5 linked regions of the Macaca mulatta genome follow. The main gene of each other region encodes a partner of the protein of the gene in region 5 in a complex. Links are inferred from orthologs where the notes say so. Each region holds a gene or a part of one and is shown on either strand. Other genes may lie near its edges. The genes, in order: TAF4, TAF10, TAF11, TAF7 and TAF6.

Evidence for each region.
Region 1: TAF6 (region 5) and TAF4 share a complex: the UniProt entries of both Homo sapiens proteins name them as parts of the TFIID basal transcription factor complex. The link is inferred for Macaca mulatta from reciprocal best matches to the Homo sapiens genes TAF6 and TAF4.
Region 2: TAF6 (region 5) and TAF10 share a complex: the UniProt entries of both Homo sapiens proteins name them as parts of the TFIID basal transcription factor complex. The link is inferred for Macaca mulatta from reciprocal best matches to the Homo sapiens genes TAF6 and TAF10.
Region 3: TAF6 (region 5) and TAF11 share a complex: the UniProt entries of both Homo sapiens proteins name them as parts of the TFIID basal transcription factor complex. The link is inferred for Macaca mulatta from reciprocal best matches to the Homo sapiens genes TAF6 and TAF11.
Region 4: TAF6 (region 5) and TAF7 share a complex: the UniProt entries of both Homo sapiens proteins name them as parts of the TFIID basal transcription factor complex. The link is inferred for Macaca mulatta from reciprocal best matches to the Homo sapiens genes TAF6 and TAF7.

What each region holds. Positions count from the first base shown.
Region 1 is NC_133415.1:114,859,579-114,863,668, reverse strand, and holds the start of TAF4 (transcription initiation factor TFIID subunit 4), read left to right. Parts: upstream 1-1,209; 5' UTR 1,210-1,280; coding exon 1,281-2,634; intron 2,635-4,090. UniProt on the Homo sapiens protein: The TFIID basal transcription factor complex plays a major role in the initiation of RNA polymerase II (Pol II)-dependent transcription.
Region 2 is NC_133419.1:59,170,864-59,174,022, forward strand, and holds TAF10 (transcription initiation factor TFIID subunit 10), read left to right. Parts: upstream 1-1,290; 5' UTR 1,291-1,302; coding exon 1,303-1,534; coding exon of another isoform or gene 1,535-1,549; intron 1,550-1,672; coding exon 1,673-1,827; intron 1,828-2,042; coding exon 2,043-2,107; intron 2,108-2,191; coding exon 2,192-2,306; intron 2,307-2,483; coding exon 2,484-2,573; 3' UTR 2,574-2,621; downstream 2,622-3,159. Other genes in the region: scaffold protein ILK, read right to left, coding at 2,884-3,033. UniProt on the Homo sapiens protein: The TFIID basal transcription factor complex plays a major role in the initiation of RNA polymerase II (Pol II)-dependent transcription.
Region 3 is NC_133409.1:147,392,376-147,396,027, forward strand, and holds part of TAF11 (transcription initiation factor TFIID subunit 11), read left to right. Parts: intron 1-1,890; coding exon 1,891-2,039; intron 2,040-3,652. UniProt on the Homo sapiens protein: The TFIID basal transcription factor complex plays a major role in the initiation of RNA polymerase II (Pol II)-dependent transcription.
Region 4 is NC_133411.1:150,152,816-150,157,098, reverse strand, and holds TAF7 (transcription initiation factor TFIID subunit 7), read left to right. Parts: upstream 1-1,373; 5' UTR 1,374-2,105; coding exon 2,106-3,155; 3' UTR 3,156-3,665; downstream 3,666-4,283. UniProt on the Homo sapiens protein: The TFIID basal transcription factor complex plays a major role in the initiation of RNA polymerase II (Pol II)-dependent transcription.
Region 5 is NC_133408.1:47,425,389-47,429,612, reverse strand, and holds the start of TAF6 (transcription initiation factor TFIID subunit 6), read left to right. Parts: upstream 1-1,337; coding exon 1,338-1,572; exon of another isoform or gene 1,573-1,606; intron 1,607-1,907; exon of another isoform or gene 1,908-2,387; intron 2,388-2,617; exon of another isoform or gene 2,618-2,752; intron 2,753-2,779; exon of another isoform or gene 2,780-2,794; coding exon of another isoform or gene 2,795-2,868; intron 2,869-4,098; exon of another isoform or gene 4,099-4,224. Other genes in the region: CNPY4 (protein canopy homolog 4 precursor), read right to left, coding at 1,403-1,517. UniProt on the Homo sapiens protein: The TFIID basal transcription factor complex plays a major role in the initiation of RNA polymerase II (Pol II)-dependent transcription.

The sequences.
Region 1 (4,090 bases), on a different chromosome or scaffold from region 5:
TTCTATGTCAGCAACGTCATTCATCGTCCCGAGGTCTCTGCTTATTGCGGCGCTGTCTTCAGCTGCGAAGACTGATCCTGCGGCCTCTTGTCCCCAGTGAGGTCCGAGGCAAGGAAGCGTCTCTCTGAAACCTATTCTGGGCTCTTAGAAAGAAATGGGAGAAAGGAAAACCACTAGAAATGTCCAATAACACCATCTTTTGGTTGGAAAATAAAACACGCAGAAAGAGGGAACTGGAACTTTTACTGAAGTATTTCTAGAGAGAAGGTGCTTGGGAACATTTTAGGTAACTTACTCCCCTCCCCCAGCAGAAGGTAAAAAGAAAGCTACTTCCAGACTTGCCAGCTCGGGAACTTCGTTTGGCGCCTGGCAGGCACCGTGCTCTTACCTACGGGCTTATAATGACACTCCCGTCTCCAAGGCAGCTAGGTGCGGGTACAGTCACCCCGGGGCGGCTTAGTTTATTGATTAAAAATGGAGGGAAGGGCCAGGGGTGGTCACGATTGGAGGGCGAGAAGAGCCGTGCGCGCAGGACCCCTCCCCACCGCCCGGGACCGGCTACCCAGGGGCGGACCCAGCTTCCTTCCCCGCGGCGGCTTGGAGGGGCCGGGCGCCGGTCCCCGTCCTCAGGGCGCGCTGCGAGAGCCCCGTCCCCGTCCCCGCCTGCTTCTCGGGCCCATCCACTCCGGGGCCTGCGCGCTGCCCGGCCGGCGCCCCGGCATCCCCGCGCGCTGCTCCCCGGGCCTCGGACGGGCCCTGCACCTCCGCTGCCACCGCACAGGGCGGCCCGCCCGGCGTTCCCGTCAGCGCCGCCGCAGCCATTTTGGAGCGAGCGGAGACAAAGAGCGAAGCCCCGTCGCCGCCCCGCGCTCGCCTCGGCCCGGCCCGGCGCACCGTCCCCGCATCCCGCGCCCCGCCCGGCGGCCACCGCCCCGCCCTGCCCGCCACCGCCCCGGCTCCCGCGTCCCCGAGCTCCAGCCCCCGCGCTTCCCGCCGCTGCTACCGCGCCCAGGCCGACCGCCCGCGCCCCGGCCTCTAGCGCTCGCAGCCATTGGCCGCGCCTTTTAAGTGCGCACCGCAGCCAATCGCCGGGCGCCCGCGGTCTCCGCGCCTGCGCAGGAGCGCCACCCCCGCGCCCCCGCCCCCCGGCCGCGCGCCCCCGCCCCCCGCCGGCCGCGCGCCGCCCCCCGCCCGCCCAGCGCCCGCCCCACTCGGAACCTCCTCCTCGCCCAGGCGCGCTCGGCCCGAGCGGCGGCGGCGGCGGCGGCCGAGGAAAAAAGATGGCGGCGGGCTCGGATCTGCTGGACGAGGTCTTCTTCAACAGCGAGGTGGACGAGAAAGTGGTGAGCGACCTGGTGGGCTCGCTCGAGTCGCAGCTGGCGGCCAGCGCGGCCCACCACCACCACCTCGCGCCGCGCACGCCCGAGGTGCGGGCCGCGGCCGCCGGCGCGCTCGGGAACCATGTTGTGAGCGGCAGCCCGGCCGGAGCCGCGGGCGCAGGGCCGGCCGCCCCCGCCGAGGGCGCGCCCGGAGCGGCGCCGGAGCCGCCCCCCGCAGGTAGAGCGCGGCCGGGGGGCGGGGGGCCGCGGCGCCCGGGCCCCCCCTCACCGCGCCGCCCCCTTGTCCCCGCAGGGCCCGCGCCGCCCGCCGCGAAGCTGAGGCCGCCGCCCGAGGGCAGCGCGGGGGCCTGCGCCCCGGTGCCCGCCGCCGCCGCCGTCGCCGCGGGGCCCGAGCCCGCCCCCGCCGGCCCCGCCAAGCCCGCCGGCCCCACCGCGCTGGCCGCCCGCGCCGGCCCCGGCCCCGGCCCCGGGCCCGGCCCCGGCCCTGGCCCTGGCAAGCCCGCCGGCCCCGGCGCCGCGCAAACTTTGAATGGGAGCGCCGCGCTGCTGAACTCGCACCACGCCGCCGCACCTGCTGTCAGCCTGGTCAACAACGGGCCCGCCGCGCTGCTGCCGCTGCCCAAGCCCGCCGCCCCCGGCACTGTCATCCAGACGCCCCCCTTCGTGGGCGCCGCCGCGCCCCCCGCGCCCGCCGCGCCCTCGCCCCCCGCCGCCCCCGCGCCCGCCGCCCCCGCCGCCGCCCCGCCCCCGCCACCCCCCGCGCCCGCCACCCTGGCGCGGCCGCCCGGCCACCCTGCCGGACCCCCGACCGCCGCGCCCGCTGCGCCGCCCCCTGCCGCAGCCCAGAACGGGGGCAGCGCCGGGGCAGCCCCCGCCCCCGCCCCGGCCGCCGGGGGCCCCGCGGGGGTCAGCGGCCAGCCCGGGCCTGGCGCGGCGGCTGCAGCGCCAGCGCCGGGGGTCAAGGCCGAGTCGCCCAAGACGGTGGTGCAGGCGGCGCCCCCGGCGGCGCAGACCCTGGCGGCCAGCGGCCCGGCCAGCACGGCTGCCAGCATGGTCATCGGGCCAACTATGCAAGGGGCGCTGCCCAGCCCCGCCGCCGTCCCACCGCCCGCCCCCGGGACCCCCACCGGGCTGCCCAAAGGCGCGGCCGGCGCAGTGACCCAGAGCCTGCCCCGGACGCCCACGGCCACCACCAGCGGGATCCGGGCCACCCTGACGCCCACCGTGCTGGCCCCCCGCCTGCCGCAGCCGCCTCAGAACCCGACCAACATCCAGAACTTCCAGCTGCCCCCAGGTGAGTGGCCGCACGGGGCGGGAGGGAAGGGCGGGTCCAGCAGCGCCAGCTGCCAGTTCCAGGAAGTTCTCCGCTGGTGGAATGCTAAGGTCATCTGTCCCGTAGGCCCGTGGCTGGAGCAGGCCGAGGGGCAGCCTCTACCCAGGTGCGGGGCCAGCCCGGGTGGCTGCCTGCGAGTGAGCCAGAGGGAGTCGGCATAGTCTGCGTCCCTGTCGCTGTTCCAGACGTCCGCGGTGGCTGCCTGTGGCTGGGGCTGGTCTGTTTCAGAGTGGCTCAGCCAGGACTCCTACTGGAGCGGTCCTTACCTGCTCCCGCCCTGTGTGCCCCTGCCCCGGTTGGAAGGCTCAGCGCAGGGGCTCCCTGGGCCAGGCGATGGGGTCTGCAGAGCTGAGGGCAGAACCTGGAGGTGCGAGTGGCAGCAACTGTCCCCTGCTCAGTTCTGCAGTTAGGCGTGTGGCCTGTGTCCCCACTTAGCCTTTCTGCCCCTTTGTGACCCTGGGCTTGAGCCTCCCCAGTCTCCAGGCGAGGACGGGGGCACGACACCCCCTCCTCGAGGCTCGGGAAGTCGGGATGGAAGGCTTGGGCTTCCCTGTTGGCCACCAGGAGGGCAGAGATGTCGGGCGCACCCTGCGAGAGTCCTCCCGGCGCGCAGCCTTGCTGAGAGCCATGCTCTGGAGTAGGGTTTCAGCACCGTGTGTGTCACCGTCTCTTCCAGCGCTGCGTTGGTGCCTAAAGGAAAGAGCGCCCAGCTAGTCTGGTTGCTGCCCCCTCGGGAGGGCAGTGGGAGGGCGGTGGCAGCAGATGCTCTCGCTCCGTGCAGGGGTCTCGGGGTAATACTGGCTGTGCTGCGGATGCCTTGGGCTCAGACGCCCCTTCTGCCTGGCAGTACTCACGCTCTTGGTCTAGTCTGCTGTCTCTGCGACTCCTCAGGGCCCCTCAAGTTTGACGGGAAAGATTGCCTGACCAGCATTGCACGCTAGGCTGCTTTTGTCTGGGGCTCCCCATCCCTCCCCAGCCGCCTTGGTGGGTGCTGGGCAGGGGAGCTCCTCCCCGGCCTGTGGTGACGCGCGCCATGCAGTTGTAGCAGCTCGGTGGCAGCAGTAGTAGGAACTTCGAGGAGAGCGTGGGTCTTTTCTGTGTCCCCTCTCTGAAGGGAGCTATTGGTCACTTTGAGAGGTTTGCAGCATCTTCAGAAGTGAAAGGTTTTCCTGTCCGAGTATGTGAAGTTCAGGGCTGGTGGTCAGACTGGACAGGGCGGGGGTAGGGAGAGTCTGTCTGGGAGACCGCTAGGCTGCAGTGCTCCAGGGAGGAAGAGGGCTGAGAAGCCACTTCTCCGGGGTTGCTGAGACGCCCGTTATGACAAGCTGTTGGAGTACTGAAGCATTTGTAGGGATGTTTCGCCAAAGTCTTGGTTTTGCTCCTATGTGTATATTGAGCTTTTAGTAGAAAATGTGGC
Region 2 (3,159 bases), on a different chromosome or scaffold from region 5:
GGCCACTTGGATGAAAACCCTTCAAGGATTACTGGATAGAGTTCAGGCTTTTTATTTTCTTCCCCCAATCATAGCTCACAAACCTTCGTTGCTATTTGTTCCTAAGTAACAAATCATTTTTCCTCCTCCCTCCCCAAACCCCAAGGAACTCTCACTCTTGCTCAAGCTGTTCTGTCCCCTTAATACCACCCCTGATACAAACTGCCTGGTTAATTTCCAGAATTCTTACAAGATTCAGCTCAGAAGTCACCTTCTCTCGTGAATGTTTTGATTCCCTGAGGCTACTTCATTTTGCTATGGCTGAAAAATCCTAGATTTTCTAAACAAAACCTGTTTGAATCTTGGTTCTGATATGGACTGGGAGAGAGACTGGGTCAAGCAAGTTTATCTCCCTGAGGCTGTTTCCTCGTCTGTTAAGTGGGAATATTACCTGCCTTTCCTAATCACCAGGGAATAAAGTGGAATAATGTTGATAAGAGTACTTGGCACCTGGAAGTAGGTGGCAGATGTTAATGCCCTTCCTCCCTTGCACTGCGACCCCTGTGTCTACCTCTAGTATTGTAACGACCACATAGTATTGAAATAGCCACTTTACTTGTCTGGCTTCCTTTCCAAGACCGTTGGTGCCTAAAGGACTAGAATCGTGTTCTATTTAACTTTGTATTCCCAGGTCCTAGCTCAGGAGTTGGCAAATAAGAATTAAATATCTGCTACATTGAAAATCTCACGCCTTTCACTCGTTGTGATTTTTGCATACGTTGTCGACTTAGGCTGAAACCCCTCCTCCTTCTACAGCAGCACTGTGGGCCGCCCCACTGCTGCCCCCACCTCTCGGGGCAGTTGGTGGAGAAGGGCGGGGGGCTTTCCAAATCCACTATGAATCCTTACAAGGCTGAATAAGGGAACTTGAAAGGATGCAGACAGGCAGGCAATCCGTAGTCGAGGGATGTAGGGCCCATAAACCTCGAAGCAAGGTCTTGAGCGTCAGACAGAATGAGGTGTCCCAGAGCGGCGGAAGAGTCCCGGACGCACGCTGCTTCTAGTCTCGACGGAATCGCCACCGAGCACCGCAGAGGCTAGGGCGGAATGGCGACGGCAGCGCAGTTCGCCAAGGCTTGGTCTCCGCCCTTCAGCCTATTTCCTCTAACCCGCAGACCCACTACCAGAGGAGGCGGGGAGCGGGCTGGAGAGCACTAACAGTGACAGGCGGGGCGAGTCGAGGGCGCGTGACGTCACCCCGGGGTGTGCGCGGCGCGAGCGGAAGCGGAAGCGGCTCTGTTCGCCGCCTCTCCCACCGGCCCGATGAGCTGCAGCGGCTCCGGCGCGGACCCCGAGGCGGCGCCGGCTTCCGCCGCCTCGGCCCCGGGCCCGGCACCCCCGGTCTCGGCTCCCGCAGCGCTGCCCGCCAGCACCGCTGCGGAGAACAAGGCCAGCCCCGCGGGGACAGCAGGGGGGCCTGGGGCTGGAGCAGCTGCTGGGGGCACGGGACCCTTGGCGGCGCGGGCCGGGGAGCCAGCTGAGCGGCGTGGGGCGGGTGAGGGCCTGACGGGTGAGGGCGAGGGAAGCGTCTGGGACTGGGCCCAGCGGCGGGTGAGGGCAGCGGGTATAGACAGACCTCGCTGGGGCCCTGCGCCTCCCACCTCTGTGTCTCATTTTGCTGGTTCTCCTCCAGCTCCGGTGTCGGCGGGTGGCGCGGCGCCCCCAGAAGGGGCCATGTCTAACGGGATTTACGTACTGCCGAGCGCGGCCAACGGAGACGTGAAGCCGGTGGTGTCCAGCACGCCGTTGGTGGACTTCTTGATGCAGCTGGAGGATTACACGCCTACGGTGGGCTTCCGCCCGAACAAGGCCACCTAGCCTGCTGTCACAACTTTCAGCCACATCTCCGTGCTTTTCAGCACCCTCTGATGTTTGCTTCCGTAGTCGCTCTTGTTTTTGCCCTCTGCTCACCCAAATCGTGAGCTTCCTGATAACCAGGTCTATCCGACATTTCCCTCACCCTCATCCCACTCTGCTGACAGTTCTCTTAATTGATTTCTTAGATCCCAGATGCAGTGACTGGTTACTACCTGAACCGTGCTGGCTTTGAGGCCTCAGACCCACGCATGTGAGTAAACCCAGGGCAGGTTAGTTTTGGGTGCTTGTGCAGTGTGTTGTCCATCTCCTTCTCATCTAAGTTTTTTCTCTCTAGAATTCGGCTCATCTCCCTAGCTGCCCAGAAATTCATCTCAGATATTGCCAATGATGCCCTACAGCACTGCAAAATGAAGGGCACAGCCTCCGGCAGCTCCCGGAGCAAGAGCAAGGTGTGAGGGGAGGCTCATTGAATCACTAATTACCTTCCACAACAGTGGAAGCTTATCCTGCCACCCCTTTGGGGAAACTGAATCCTAGGGGAGGTGTAAAACTTACTCAGGGTCACCCATCTGGGATTGAAGTGTGGGATTCCTGTGCTCAGTTGGTGCTCTTCCCTCTTCCCTCAGGACCGCAAGTATACTTTAACCATGGAGGACTTGACCCCTGCCCTCAGCGAGTATGGCATCAATGTGAAGAAGCCGCACTACTTCACCTGAGCCACCCAACCTAAATGTACTTGTCTGTCCCCATGTCCCCACACCAGCCTGTTTTCATAATAAACTTTATTGTGACAGGCGGGGCTGATCCCTCCCATGTTGGGAGACACCATGTGGCAAGTGACAAAGCTCTGAGCCCGCCCCTTTTGGGGCCACAGTGGTAGGGATGGGGGAAGGGGATGGACCCCATGGCTGGGGTAGTACCATGACTGGAGGCAGGGGAGGCAACCAGAGGTCTGCTGCTTTGGGGAGGTACATTCCCCCAACCATGTCCTGACACCTCTGGAGTTCAGGCAAGGGCCTTCCGGTCCTACTTGTCCTGCATCTTCTCCAGGATAGGCACAATCATGTCAAATTTGGGTCGCTTTGCAGGGTCTTCGTTCATGCAGATCTTCATGAGCTTACACACATGAGGGGAAATACCTGGTGGGATGGTAGGCCGAAGGCCTTCCAATGCCACCTGTGAATACAAGAAAAAACTGAGCCTCACAATTTGAGTCTGTCATGTAGAGAGAAGCCACTGGCCCCTGGGACAGGATAACTGTATATCCGAACAAATATGGGAGGAGCCCAGGCCCACTACAGT
Region 3 (3,652 bases), on a different chromosome or scaffold from region 5:
AAATGTAAATGTACATTACAAAATATGAAAGGCTATAGGCACTAATATGGAGATCTTTAAAGCTATAAAAACATTTAATGTTCAAGTTTAGGCCAAATAAATGGGAAAATCTGAGAAAAACAGGTGAATTTTTAAAGAAAATACAAACCACCAAACTTGAAGCGCAAAGAAGTTAGAAAACTTGTATAAATCGGTAAGTAAAAAGAAATTGAAAGGATTGTCAAAGATAGACTACCTTAATCCCATCTATTCCCATATTCCTGTATGAGTTTAAATTTGAATTCCTCTTTAGGAACAAGTTAAATCTCAATGAGTTTTGTAGTATACTTACGATTCTACATTAAGTCAGAGGGGGTGAAGTTTGGATTTGATTTTTATTGTTATAAACAGGCAGTTTTTTAAGTTTGGGGGTGCATGTGCAGGATGTGCAGGTTTTGTTACATAAGTAAATGTATGTCATAGGGGTTTGTTGTATAGATTATTTCATCTCCCAGGTATTAAGCCTAGTACCCATTAGTTATTTTTCATGATCCTTTCCCTCCTGCCACCCTTTACCCTCCCATAGACCCCAATGTGTGTTCCCCTGTATGTGTCCATGTGTTCTCATCATTTAGTTCCCACTTATTAGTGAGAACATGCAGTATTTGGTTTTCTGTTCCCGCATTAGTTTGCTAAAGATAATGGCCTCCACCTCCATCCATGTCCCTGCAAAGGACATGATCTCCTTTTTTATGGCTGTGTAGTATTTCATGGTGTATACTGGAAAATACATTTTCATTATCCAGTCTATCATTGATGGGCATTTAGGTTGATTCCATGTCTTTGCTATTGTCAATAGCACTGCAATGAACATACGTGTGGATGTGTCTTTATAATAGAACAATTTATATTCCTGTGGGTGTATACCCAGTAATGGGACTGCTGGGTCAAATGGTAATTCTGTCTTTAGGTCTTTGAGGAATTGTCACACTGCCTTCCTCAATGGTGAACTGATTTATACTCCAACCAAGAGTTTAAAAGCTTTCCTTTGCCTCCACAACCTTGCCAGTATCTGTTATTTTTTGATTTTTGAATAATAGCCATTCTGACAGATATGAGATGGTATCTCATTATGGTTTTGATTTGCATTTCTCTAATCAGAGATGCTGAGCTTTTTTTCATATGATTTTTGACCACAGGTATGTCTTCTTTTGAGAAGTGTCTTTGCCTACCTTTTAATGGGGTTTAAACAGGCATTTATTAAACATCCAGCATAAGTAAAATTGTGTTAAATGCTGATGGGGGAGAGATATAAATAATAAGAGACAAATCTATCTTCAAAAAGACTAGTAATGTGAAATAAACATTTGCATGAAACAGTAGGATTGAAGGATAAGAACAAAAGAGCACTACCTGTGAGAAGCTCACTTGAAAGTCCCAAAGTGAAATAAACACTGTTTTAATGAGAAGGGGCCTCCTTTTTAATATTCTTTCCATATGGAATCATCAGCAGTAAAGAGATCTGTAGATCTAGAAGCAGAAGAGCTGGCTGGATGGAGGGGACTTTGCTGACATCCCCTCTAAAGAATAAGGTCAGAAGAGCGGGCCCAGAGGGAGGGCAGTTTTCATGATCCTTGGCATTTCATCACCCTCGTAAACAGATACTGGAGCTGTGCTCATAGCCGAACTGGAAAACTAGATTATTTAGCAGGTTTTCTTTCCACGGCTGAGCCATAATCTTCCCTTAGGAGAGATACTGTATCTTATCCTTGATGGTACAGTCAGTGCCTAAAACTGAAAAACTACTCAATAAATGGATTTGTTGTTTTGTAATAAGGATAATGCCTTCTCACTTTGCCCAAGCCTCGAAAGTAGGCCAAATATGTAATAGAGTTTCTTTCATCTTCCCAGCCCAAGAGTCAGGATGTCTCAGATTTAACAACAGTTGAAAGGGAAGACTCATCATTACTTACTCCTGCGGCCAAAAAACTGAAAATAGATACCAAAGAAAAGAAAGAGAAGAAGCAGAAAGTAGATGAAGATGAGATTCAGAAGATGCAGTAAGTCACTTTCTTATCATTCCCCATTTCAAAGCTCTCACTTGACCACACAAATTTAATAAATTTTTCTTGGTATTTAAATTTTCTTTTATAAACTCAAAAGAAAATAAAACGATTAATACATTATGGCTGGGCATGGTGGCTCACGCTTATAATCCCAACACTTCAGAAGGCCAAGGTGGGAGGATTTCTTGAGGTCCAAGTTTGAGACCAGCCTGGGCAACATAGTGAAACCCTATCTCTAATGTTATGTTACAGTACGTTACGGTGGTTTTTTTTTTTTTTTTTTTTTTTTTTTGGGACAGAGTCTTACTGTGTTGCCCAGGATGGAGTGCAATGGTATGATCTCAGCTCACTGCAGCCTCTGCCTCCTGAGTTCAAACAATTCTCATGCCTCAGCCTCCCGAGTAGCTGGGACTACAGGCATGTACCACCATGCCTGGCTAATTTTTGTATTTTTAGTAGAGACAGGGTTTCACTATATTGGCCAGGCTGGTCTTGAACTCATGACCTCAGGTGATCTGCCCGCCTCAGCCTCCCAAAGTGCTGGGATGACAGGCATGAGCCACTGCGCCCGGCCTCTATTTCAAATTTTTGTTTGTTTGTTTTTGAGATGGAGTTTCGCTCTCATTGCTCAGGCTGGAGTGTAGTGGCAGGATCTCTGCTCACTGCAACCTCCACCTTCCGGTTTCAAGCGATTCTCCTGCCTCAGCCTCCCAGGTAGCTGGGACTACAGGTGCCCGCCACCATGCCTGGCTAATTTTTGTATTTTTAGTGGAGACAGGGTTTCACCATGTTGGCCAGGCTGGTCTCGAACTCGAGACCTCGTGATCCGCCCGCCTCGGCCTCCCAAAGTGCTGGGATTACAGGCCAAAAAATTTTTTTTCAAACAATTATGTTACAGCATAGAAAATATAAATAGATAAAAAGATGTCCGGGAGCGGTGGCTCACACCTGTAATCCCAGCACTTTGGGAGGCTGAGGCGTGGGCGGATCACCTGAGGTCAGGAGTTTGAGACCAGCCTGGCCAAGATGGTGAAACCCCATCTCTACTAAAATTACAAAAAATTAGCCAGGCGTTGTGGTGGGTGCCTGTAGTCCCAGCTACTCGGGAGGCTGAGGTAGGAGAATCACTTGAACCCAGGAGGCAGAGGTTACAATGAGCCAAGATTGCACTACTGCACTCCAGCCTGGGCAATAGAGCCAGACACTGTCTCAAAAATAAATAAATAAAAATAAATAGATAAGAAGAAAAAAGAATCACCTTACCACAGAGATATATCCTGCTTATGTTAAAAGTTTCAAGATAGTTTCTATACATATATATCTATGAATTGTTTTTTTCACAAATGTCAAATACTGTTTCATAGCCTATTTTTCACATTAGATATGATGAATGTTTTCCATGTCACTAATTATACATCTAGGTCATAGTTTTCTTTTTTTTTTTTTTTTTTTTTCTGAGGCAGAGTCTCGCTCTGTCGCCCAGGCTGGAGTGCAGTGGCACGATCTCGGCTCACTGCAAGCTCCGCCTCCCGGGTTCACGCCATTCTCCTGCCTCAGCCTCCCAAGTAGCTGGGACTACAGGCGCCCGCCATCACGCCTGGCTAATT
Region 4 (4,283 bases), on a different chromosome or scaffold from region 5:
CCAGGATAGAAAAAGATCACTATCATGGAGCTTTCAATCATACAGGAATAAAGTGAATTTTGGAAATGTTAATTACATCTTAAGAGAATTCTCTTAAATTTAGGGGCAATTGGTAATATTTTAGAGGATAGAAATTAAATGTTAATGGCCTTGATGCTCTACCAGATATTTTAAAAATAAATGGAAATAAATAGAAATAAGTACCAACTGTTACCCAGTTATGTCAAAATACTAAAAATATGTGTTGATGAATACCTGACCCTCCAAAGAAAAGACAAGCACAAAACAGCAAAATAGTAGAGGTGGAGTTAAAAAAAAAGTCAAAGTATTTAAAATTACTTGTACATGAGAAGCAGGAAACAATACTTCAATTATGTCTACTTTAACCAGATGCTCAGTCTATCAGACAATTCTGTCCAAAATGAACCTGTGCTTGCAGAAGAACACTTCCTTCTCTGCTTACATTTACATCTAAATCAAGCATATAAAAAGGAATCACCCTTGTTTCCTCAGGAGTATTACAGAACAGAAGGAAACCCAGAGGCACAATTCCCCTACAGGGAATTATATTAAACAAAATATAGACTTTGGGCCAGGCACGGTGGCTCACACCTATAATCCCAGTACTTTGGGAGGCCAAGACAGGCAAATCACCTCAGGTCAGGAGTTGGAGACCAGCCTGGCCAACATGGTGAAACCCCTTCTCTACTAAAAATACCAAACTTAGCTGGGGTAGTGGAAGGTGCCTGTAATCCCAGCTACTCAAGAGGCTGAGGCAGGAGAATCGCTTGAACCCTGGAGGTGCAGATTGCAGTGAGCCAATATTGTGCCACTACACTCAAGCCTGGGTGACAGCCTAGACTCCATTTCCAAAACAAACAAACAAACAAACAAAGAGAGGTTTAGAATTATATAGTGAGCTCCATGTCCTCCTCACTCCACTGATTTGGGTTCTTTAAAATCCATTGTATAGTAGCTACACATTCTTGTATTGGCACCAGATTGGCTAGACCCTAGGAAGCATCCGAGATGTTTCCAGAAGCAAAGACGCTTACTGCCAGGCGTCCCCCATCTCCCGGAATCACCCGGAAGTCTAGAAGCCATCCGGCCCCACAGCGATCCCTTAAAAGTGCTGGCTTAGCGGGGGACGAATCCGTGTCTTTCTTGTAACTTCCAAGCGCTAAATAGTTTGAAACCAACAGCTCTTCGAAAACACTATCATTTTCATCCCAGAAAAGCAAGTTCTCGCGAAAAGACGAGTTTCACGCTGGGCAGCGTAATTGCGCTATTGCGCCTGCGCGCGCCGGGGCTCCGCCCTTCCGGCCGGAGGGGCTGTCACTCACATCCACCTCCCGCCCCGCGTCGTGACGTAGCACTTCCGTTTTCTCTGGGCAAGCGGTCGAACGGAGGGCCGGCGAGGTGCCGGGTCTGGTTCTCCGAGCTGCGCCTCTCGGCAAGATTTCGCGTTGCCCATCCTGGGCTTTCATCAGTAATCGATAGTGGATCACTCTGCCAAGCGGCAGGAAGAATTAAGGAAACGACAAGGAGACGCTTGGCTGCCTCCCGCTTTGCTCCTTGCGGCCTCCTCTTCCCTTCGCTCCGGCCCGGTGAAACTGAACTTATAATCGTCACTGGATTGTAAGTACCCGAGGCGAAGAGAGCTCACTGAGCCCTGATGTTTTGAGTGTCTGTTCCGGGAGAGTTTGTAAATTGAGAGTATCTCTGCTGGCCTTTCTGGGCCGAAAACCGTTCCGCGGGAGCCGCCATTTGCTTTCCTGCTTCTTAGCTAGGTAGCTGTCTCCGCGTTGTCGGGCAGCGGCACCTAGAGGTTGGGACTTGGCATTGCATCTGATTTAATGAACTTAAGTCTGTGAATAAGCCTTTGTGTTAACGACTGGTATTTGGTCACAGCATATTTAGAGAAAAGACTTGGAGCTTAAATAAAAACGAAGGCAAAATAGACGCTAAGCTGCTGATCTACAGAGAACTTCTTGTAATTAAAATATTTCAATTCATAGCGAACTGGTGTTTTAAACTATTGCAGTAGCTGGAACTTTTTACGGTAACCATCATTTATTGGAGAAGTGAGTCACAAAGAAATAAAAATGAGTAAAAGCAAAGATGATGCTCCTCACGAACTGGAGAGCCAGTTTATCTTACGTCTGCCTCCAGAATATGCCTCTACTGTGAGAAGAGCAGTACAGTCTGGTCATGTCAACCTCAAGGACAGACTGACAATTGAGTTACATCCTGATGGGCGTCATGGAATCGTCAGAGTGGACCGTGTTCCATTGGCCTCAAAATTGGTAGACCTGCCCTGTGTTATGGAAAGCTTGAAAACCATTGATAAGAAAACCTTTTACAAGACAGCTGATATCTGTCAGATGCTTGTATCCACAGTTGATGGTGATCTCTATCCACCTGTGGAGGAGCCAGTTGCTAGCACTGATCCTAAAGCAAGCAAGAAAAAGGATAAGGACAAAGAGAAAAAGTTTATCTGGAACCACGGAATTACTCTGCCTCTGAAGAATGTCAGGAAGAGAAGGTTCCGGAAGACAGCAAAGAAGAAATATATTGAATCTCCAGATGTGGAAAAAGAAGTGAAACGATTGCTGAGTACAGATGCTGAAGCTGTTAGTACTCGGTGGGAAATAATTGCTGAAGATGAAACAAAGGAGGCAGAAAATCAAGGCCTGGATATCTCTTCTCCAGGAATGTCTGGTCACAGGCAGGGCCATGACTCATTAGAACATGATGAGCTTCGGGAGATATTCAATGACCTCAGCAGCAGCAGTGAGGATGAAGATGAGACCCAGCATCAAGATGAAGAAGATATAAACATCATTGACACTGAGGAAGATCTGGAGAGACAACTACAGGACAAGCTAAATGAATCAGATGAACAGCACCAGGAAAATGAGGGAACCAATCAGCTGGTTATGGGAATTCAGAAGCAGATTGACAACATGAAAGGCAAGCTCCAAGAGACCCAGGACAGGGCAAAACGACAAGAGGATCTCATCATGAAAGTGGAAAATCTGGCTCTCAAGAACAGATTTCAGGCTGTACTGGATGAGCTCAAACAAAAGGAAGACCGAGAAAAGGAGCAACTCAGCTCTTTGCAAGAAGAGCTAGAATCACTCCTAGAGAAGTAAAAAGAACTGATTCTTAATTTCAGTGTTCAGACTGATCAGCATTAGAAAATTCTTGGCTTTATTACTTGTACTGGATATTAACACCTTGCACTTCCTAGTCCCTCTAATGCTGTGTGTTCTGTTAAGTTCTTTCATTTGTTTATAGTTTTGTTTTTCAGCAAATTTACATTGTTTTGCTAGGTGTTCATCCTATAAGAAGCAGGATTGTATAGGCAGAAAAATGATAGTAGGAAAGTTGCAGGATTAGTGGAATGTATGGTTCAACCTTAATTATAGCTCCACTGCAGGACTTTGCTGTTTCTCCATTTTCTAGAAGCTGCTGTTGCTGCCTTATGATGACATGAGATCAATAAGAAGAACCTAGTCTAGAGACAGTGATGCTAGTTTGCATATGTTTTCCCATGCAATAGCTGTTTTCCCAGTTACTCAAAGCAGTTTCCCATATGTAGAGATGCAAATTTTATTAAGTTGTTTACAATACAATAAATAAAAGCATCTGTTTTTCACTTTGTAGTGTATCTTGTTCTTTCATGGTTGGTGGGAGTCAGGTCCCTTTTGAGGTGGTTTCGTGGTGGAGTTTAGTGACTAAGAAATTTGATCCAGTTCTGCAGGTAGAGGCAGTTTGGTTTATGAAAAAAAGCAACACAGCAGGGGTAAAGAAATTGGGAATTGTCATGTTTGCATCATATTAAGATTCCAGTTCTATCTGATCTACTTGAAAGCTGGGAAACATTAGATACAGAGCTTTCTTAAACTACCCTAATTTTTGTAGATGAAGGCCTTTGTGCCTTTTTTAAAAAGCTTACTAAATCTACCTGCACAAAATGTTGGAAACAAAGCAGTGGTTATCAAGTGCAGTCCAATGAATCATTCCATTGGTTTGGATTAAGATTTTATTTCTATTTTTCTTCAGTTGAGTTCTTATAATTAATAATCTGAGAACTGAGGTCATTTATCAATGTCATTTCATCAAAATTGCTCATAAAGTAAGTCGGTACCAAATTTCTCATGCTTTAAAGATAATTTAATGCCTCACAACATGAGCTATTTTTGAAAAATCAGTTACTGATAAAAGAGGCAGAGTTGTATGCAATTTGTTTCTGACAGGTTGGTTTATGAGAAGCTTGG
Region 5 (4,224 bases):
CTTGGGAGGCTGAGGCAGGAGAATCGCTTAAACCCAGGACGCGGAGGTTGCAGTGAGCTGAGATTGCACCACTGCACTCCAGCCTGGGCAACAGCATGAGACTCTGTCTCAAAAGAAAAAAAAAAAAAAAAAAAATATATATATATATATGTGTGTGTGTGTGTGTGTGTGTGTGTGTGTGTATAATAAATACAATGGGATAATAGTATGTCCCTCATAGGAGTGTGATGAGGATTAAATCAACATATATAAAGGCTGGCACATAGTGAGTACTGTATAAGTATTCACTGTTATCCTGCAGTTATTTATTGAGCTCCTTCTGTATGCATACTAACAATATAACAGCAATAAAACCTATTATCTCTATCTACAGGTCTCTGTCAGTGTAGTTGGGACAGATAAACCAAGGATGACAAGATATGGTGAAGCTGGGCCTGAACTCATGGGCTCAAGTGATCCTCCCACCTTGGCCTTCCCAAGTGCTGGGTTTACAGATGTGAGCCACTGTGCCCAGGCCTGTTGGCTGTATTCCGATAGAAGGCCTGCAGAGGTGTTAAAGCAAGGACTGATACAATTAGGTGATTAAGTCTGTTTAAAAAGATTGACAAGTCAGGGGAGAAGAGCGGGACACGGAGGTGAAAGGAGACAGAGATGAGGACTAAGTCATGAGACTATCATGACTGCCTTTCATGATACTGAAATACAGTTTTGTGGGGGTGAAGAGAAGAGAAAAAGAATCCAGGGAAGAAACGTAAAGTCAGGAGGGCAGCAAACTAGGGCATCAGGGCCAGTCCCCTTTCTCAAATGGGCCCCACACTAGTGCAGCTGTGGAAGGTGCTGCTTGCTGAAAAATCCATATAGTACGCACCGTCTGCAAAGTCTCACCGGATGGGGAACCTCTCCTACTTGTACGGCCTCCTTTTGTTTATGAGCTTCAAAGGCTGAGTTACTCACCCTCAAACCCCCTCAGGGGGGCGTGGGGCCTGTAATTTGGGAGCGTCTATGCTAGGGTAGGGCAGCGGATGTCCACAAGGCCTGAGCCTCACACCCGGCTCCTGCAGTCTCTGCAGATTAAGGTCTGGTGACATGAGGCAAACACGCACTGAAGATGCTCTAAAAGTTGGCAGTCCAGGGCCGATGGTCCCTGAACTACAATTCCCACAATCCATTGGCGGGGGTGTCCAAGCCAGCCAAAAAAATGCAGGCTCTCTCTGGATGCAGCTTTGAGGTGGCACTACACGTTCGCTTCCTTGACCCCATCCAAATTCAGCCAAGCTCCACCAGAACCTCCCTCAAGCCTTCAAGGAGGTCGGGTGACCCACCCAATACAGTCCAGGATGTCCGGCCTAGAAGAAGGAGGTGTGGCCGGGCGATGCCCACAGGGGCTACCCCCTTCAAATACCTTCGCATTTGCTGGGCAAGCGTTCTGCGTCATCGTCGTCCTCTTTCGGCATCCCAGCCCAAGCCCCGTGCACGGCCAAAAGGAAAACCAATATTCCCAGTCGCACAGGTCCCATGACAAAGCGCCGTCCACAAACAACCACCGCTTGCCTTCAAACCAACTTCGGAGAGGCAGTGTGGGTCCTTTAAATTCCCAGCGGCTGGCGGCAACCTTAAATCCAGCCTGGCAAGATCGGCGCATGCGCAAGATCAGCCCAACAGGGGTGCGGCCTCGTTGCTCCGGGTTTCCCTGCCTCCGTTTTGTGGCGCCTCTTGAAGGTCCTGGCAGCCGGGTAGTGAAGGAATAAATTACACTAATTACATCAAGAGGGAGTGGTCCTTATATGTAGATGTAGAAACAAATTTTTAAAATATAATTTCATTCTGTAAGCCTAGAGGACTTATTCTGGCACGGGGAAGGGGCAGTGACTTGCTCTTCGGTTCTGCCAGGACCTGCTTCCAGGAGGGGGCGGGGCCAAGATGGCGCCGAGCGCCGGTTGAGCGGCGTCCCGGCTGCGGCTAGAGTTTTCTTGCTGCCCGTGCTCGGCTGGCCGGGGCGGGTCTGAGTGGTACCCGGGAGGAGACCCTTTGAAAGTCCCTTGTGGGGACTGGAAAGAGGACGGTTGGTTGTGTGTCTGTGCTCGTGGGGACCCCGTGTGTGTGCCTGCATAGGAGAGATGTTGCAGGAGATGGGGTGGACTCTCTGAGCCTCATTTCGCGCTGCCCGGGGATCTTCGACCTGCTTCTCTGCTGGGATCTCGCTCAAGTTAACCCTCCCCTGGGACGCCTTCCTGCCGCCTCCACTTGATCTGAGGAGATCCTGTGACTGTAGCGTGTTTTATGAGCCTTTACTGGCAGAGGGTACCGCCGGGTATTGAAGGATTCGTAGGAGTTCGCCAGGGAAGTGGGACACGACCGCCTCTTGTAAACCCGGCGCCAGGCACAGAGTATGTCTCCAATAATTGTGTTTCCTATAGATAAGACTTATAAAAGTGGGGAAGGAGATTAGGGATGGTTTGAAAAGAACTAATTTCTTTTTCGGCCTCCCTCTTCCCATCCTTCCAGCACGGCCCCACCCTACTTGTACTACTCCTGAACAGTATTGATGTTAATCTTCCTAATGTCCAGCTCCAAGTGTGCCACTTATTTTATTTTATTTTATTTTATTTTGAGGCAGGATTTCCGTCTGTTGCGCAGGCTGTTGTGCAGTGGCACCATCTTGGCTCACTGCAGCCTCCAACTCCTCAGTAGTTCAAGCGATCCTCCCGCCTCAGCCGCCTAAGTAGCTGGGATGACCGGTTCACCCCACCACGCCCGTCTAATTTTTTAATTTTTGCAGAAATGGGGGTCTCACATGTTGACCAGTCTGTCTCAAACTTCTGGCCTCAAACGATCCTCCCACCTCTGCCTCCCAAAGTGCTGGGGTGAGCTACCTCTCTTGGCTCCAATTTGCTTTTTTTTTTTTTTTTTTTTTTTGAGACGGAGTCTCCCTCTATCGCCCAGGCTGGAGTGCAGTGGCACGATCTCGGTTCACTGCAACCTCCACCTCCTGGGTTCAAGCGATTCTCCCACCTCAGCCTCTCAAGTAGCTGGAGTAGCTGGGACTACAGGCGCCCGCCACCATGTCTGGTTAATTTTTGTGTTTTTACAAAAAGACAAGGTTTCACCATGTTGGCCAGGGTGGTCTCGAACTCCTGACCCCAGGTGATCTTCCCACCTTGGTCTCCCAAATTACAGGCGTGAGCCACTGCACCTGGCTCCACTTTGCTTTTAACTACAGTGTAGGCTCAAAGCTTGGGCCTATGACCTATTAATAACAGTGATACCAAGTATTTACTGAGCACCAACATCTCTAAGCCTTACAACTAATTCATTTACTTCACAAATATTTATGATGTCCCAGGGCTCCTGGAATACATCAGTGAACATAATAAAGAGCTCTGTTGGCCAGGCACAGTGACTCACGCCTGTAATCCCAGCACTTTGGGAGGCCAAGGTGGGCGGATCACCTGAGGTCAGGAGTTCAAGAGTGGACAACAAGAGTGAAATTCTATTTCCAAAAAAAAAGAGAAGAGCCCTGTTTACATGGTGGACAGAGACGGAGTCTCACTCTGTTGCCAGGCTGGAGTGCAGTGGTGCAACCTCTGCTCACTGCAACCTCCGCCTCCCGGGTTCAAGCGATTCTCCTGCCTCAGCCTCCCGAGTGTCTGGGACTACAGGCGCATGCCACCATGCCCGGCTAATTTTTGTATTTTCAGTAGAGACAGGGTTTAACCATGTTGGCCAGGATGGTCTTGATCTCTTGATCTCATGATCTGCCGGCCTCGGCCTCCCAAAGTGTTGGGATTACAGGCGTGAGCCGCCGCGCCAGGCTCAGAAGATGTTAAATGCTACGGAAAAGAAGAAGTGGGCTGCCCCCACTCTGAGGGCAGACTGCAGAGTTAAATAGGGTGGTCAGGGTAGGCAGCCAATTAGACATTTGGGAGAACATTCCAGGCAGAGGGAATGGAGCAAAAGCTATTAAGTGCATGCCTGGCAAGTTTAAGGAGCAGCCAGAAGACATATGTGTCTGGATCAAAGTGGAAGAAGGAAGGAAGAGTGATCAGAGATATAATGGGGAGAAGGCAAATTTTGAAGGGCTTTGTGGGACATTATAAGGATTTTGTCTTTTTTTTTTGAGAAGGAGTCTTGCTTTGTCACCCAGGCTGAAGTGCAGTGACACATATCTTTGCTCACTTCAACCTCCGCCTCCTGGGTTCGAGTGACTCTCCTGCCTCAGCCTCC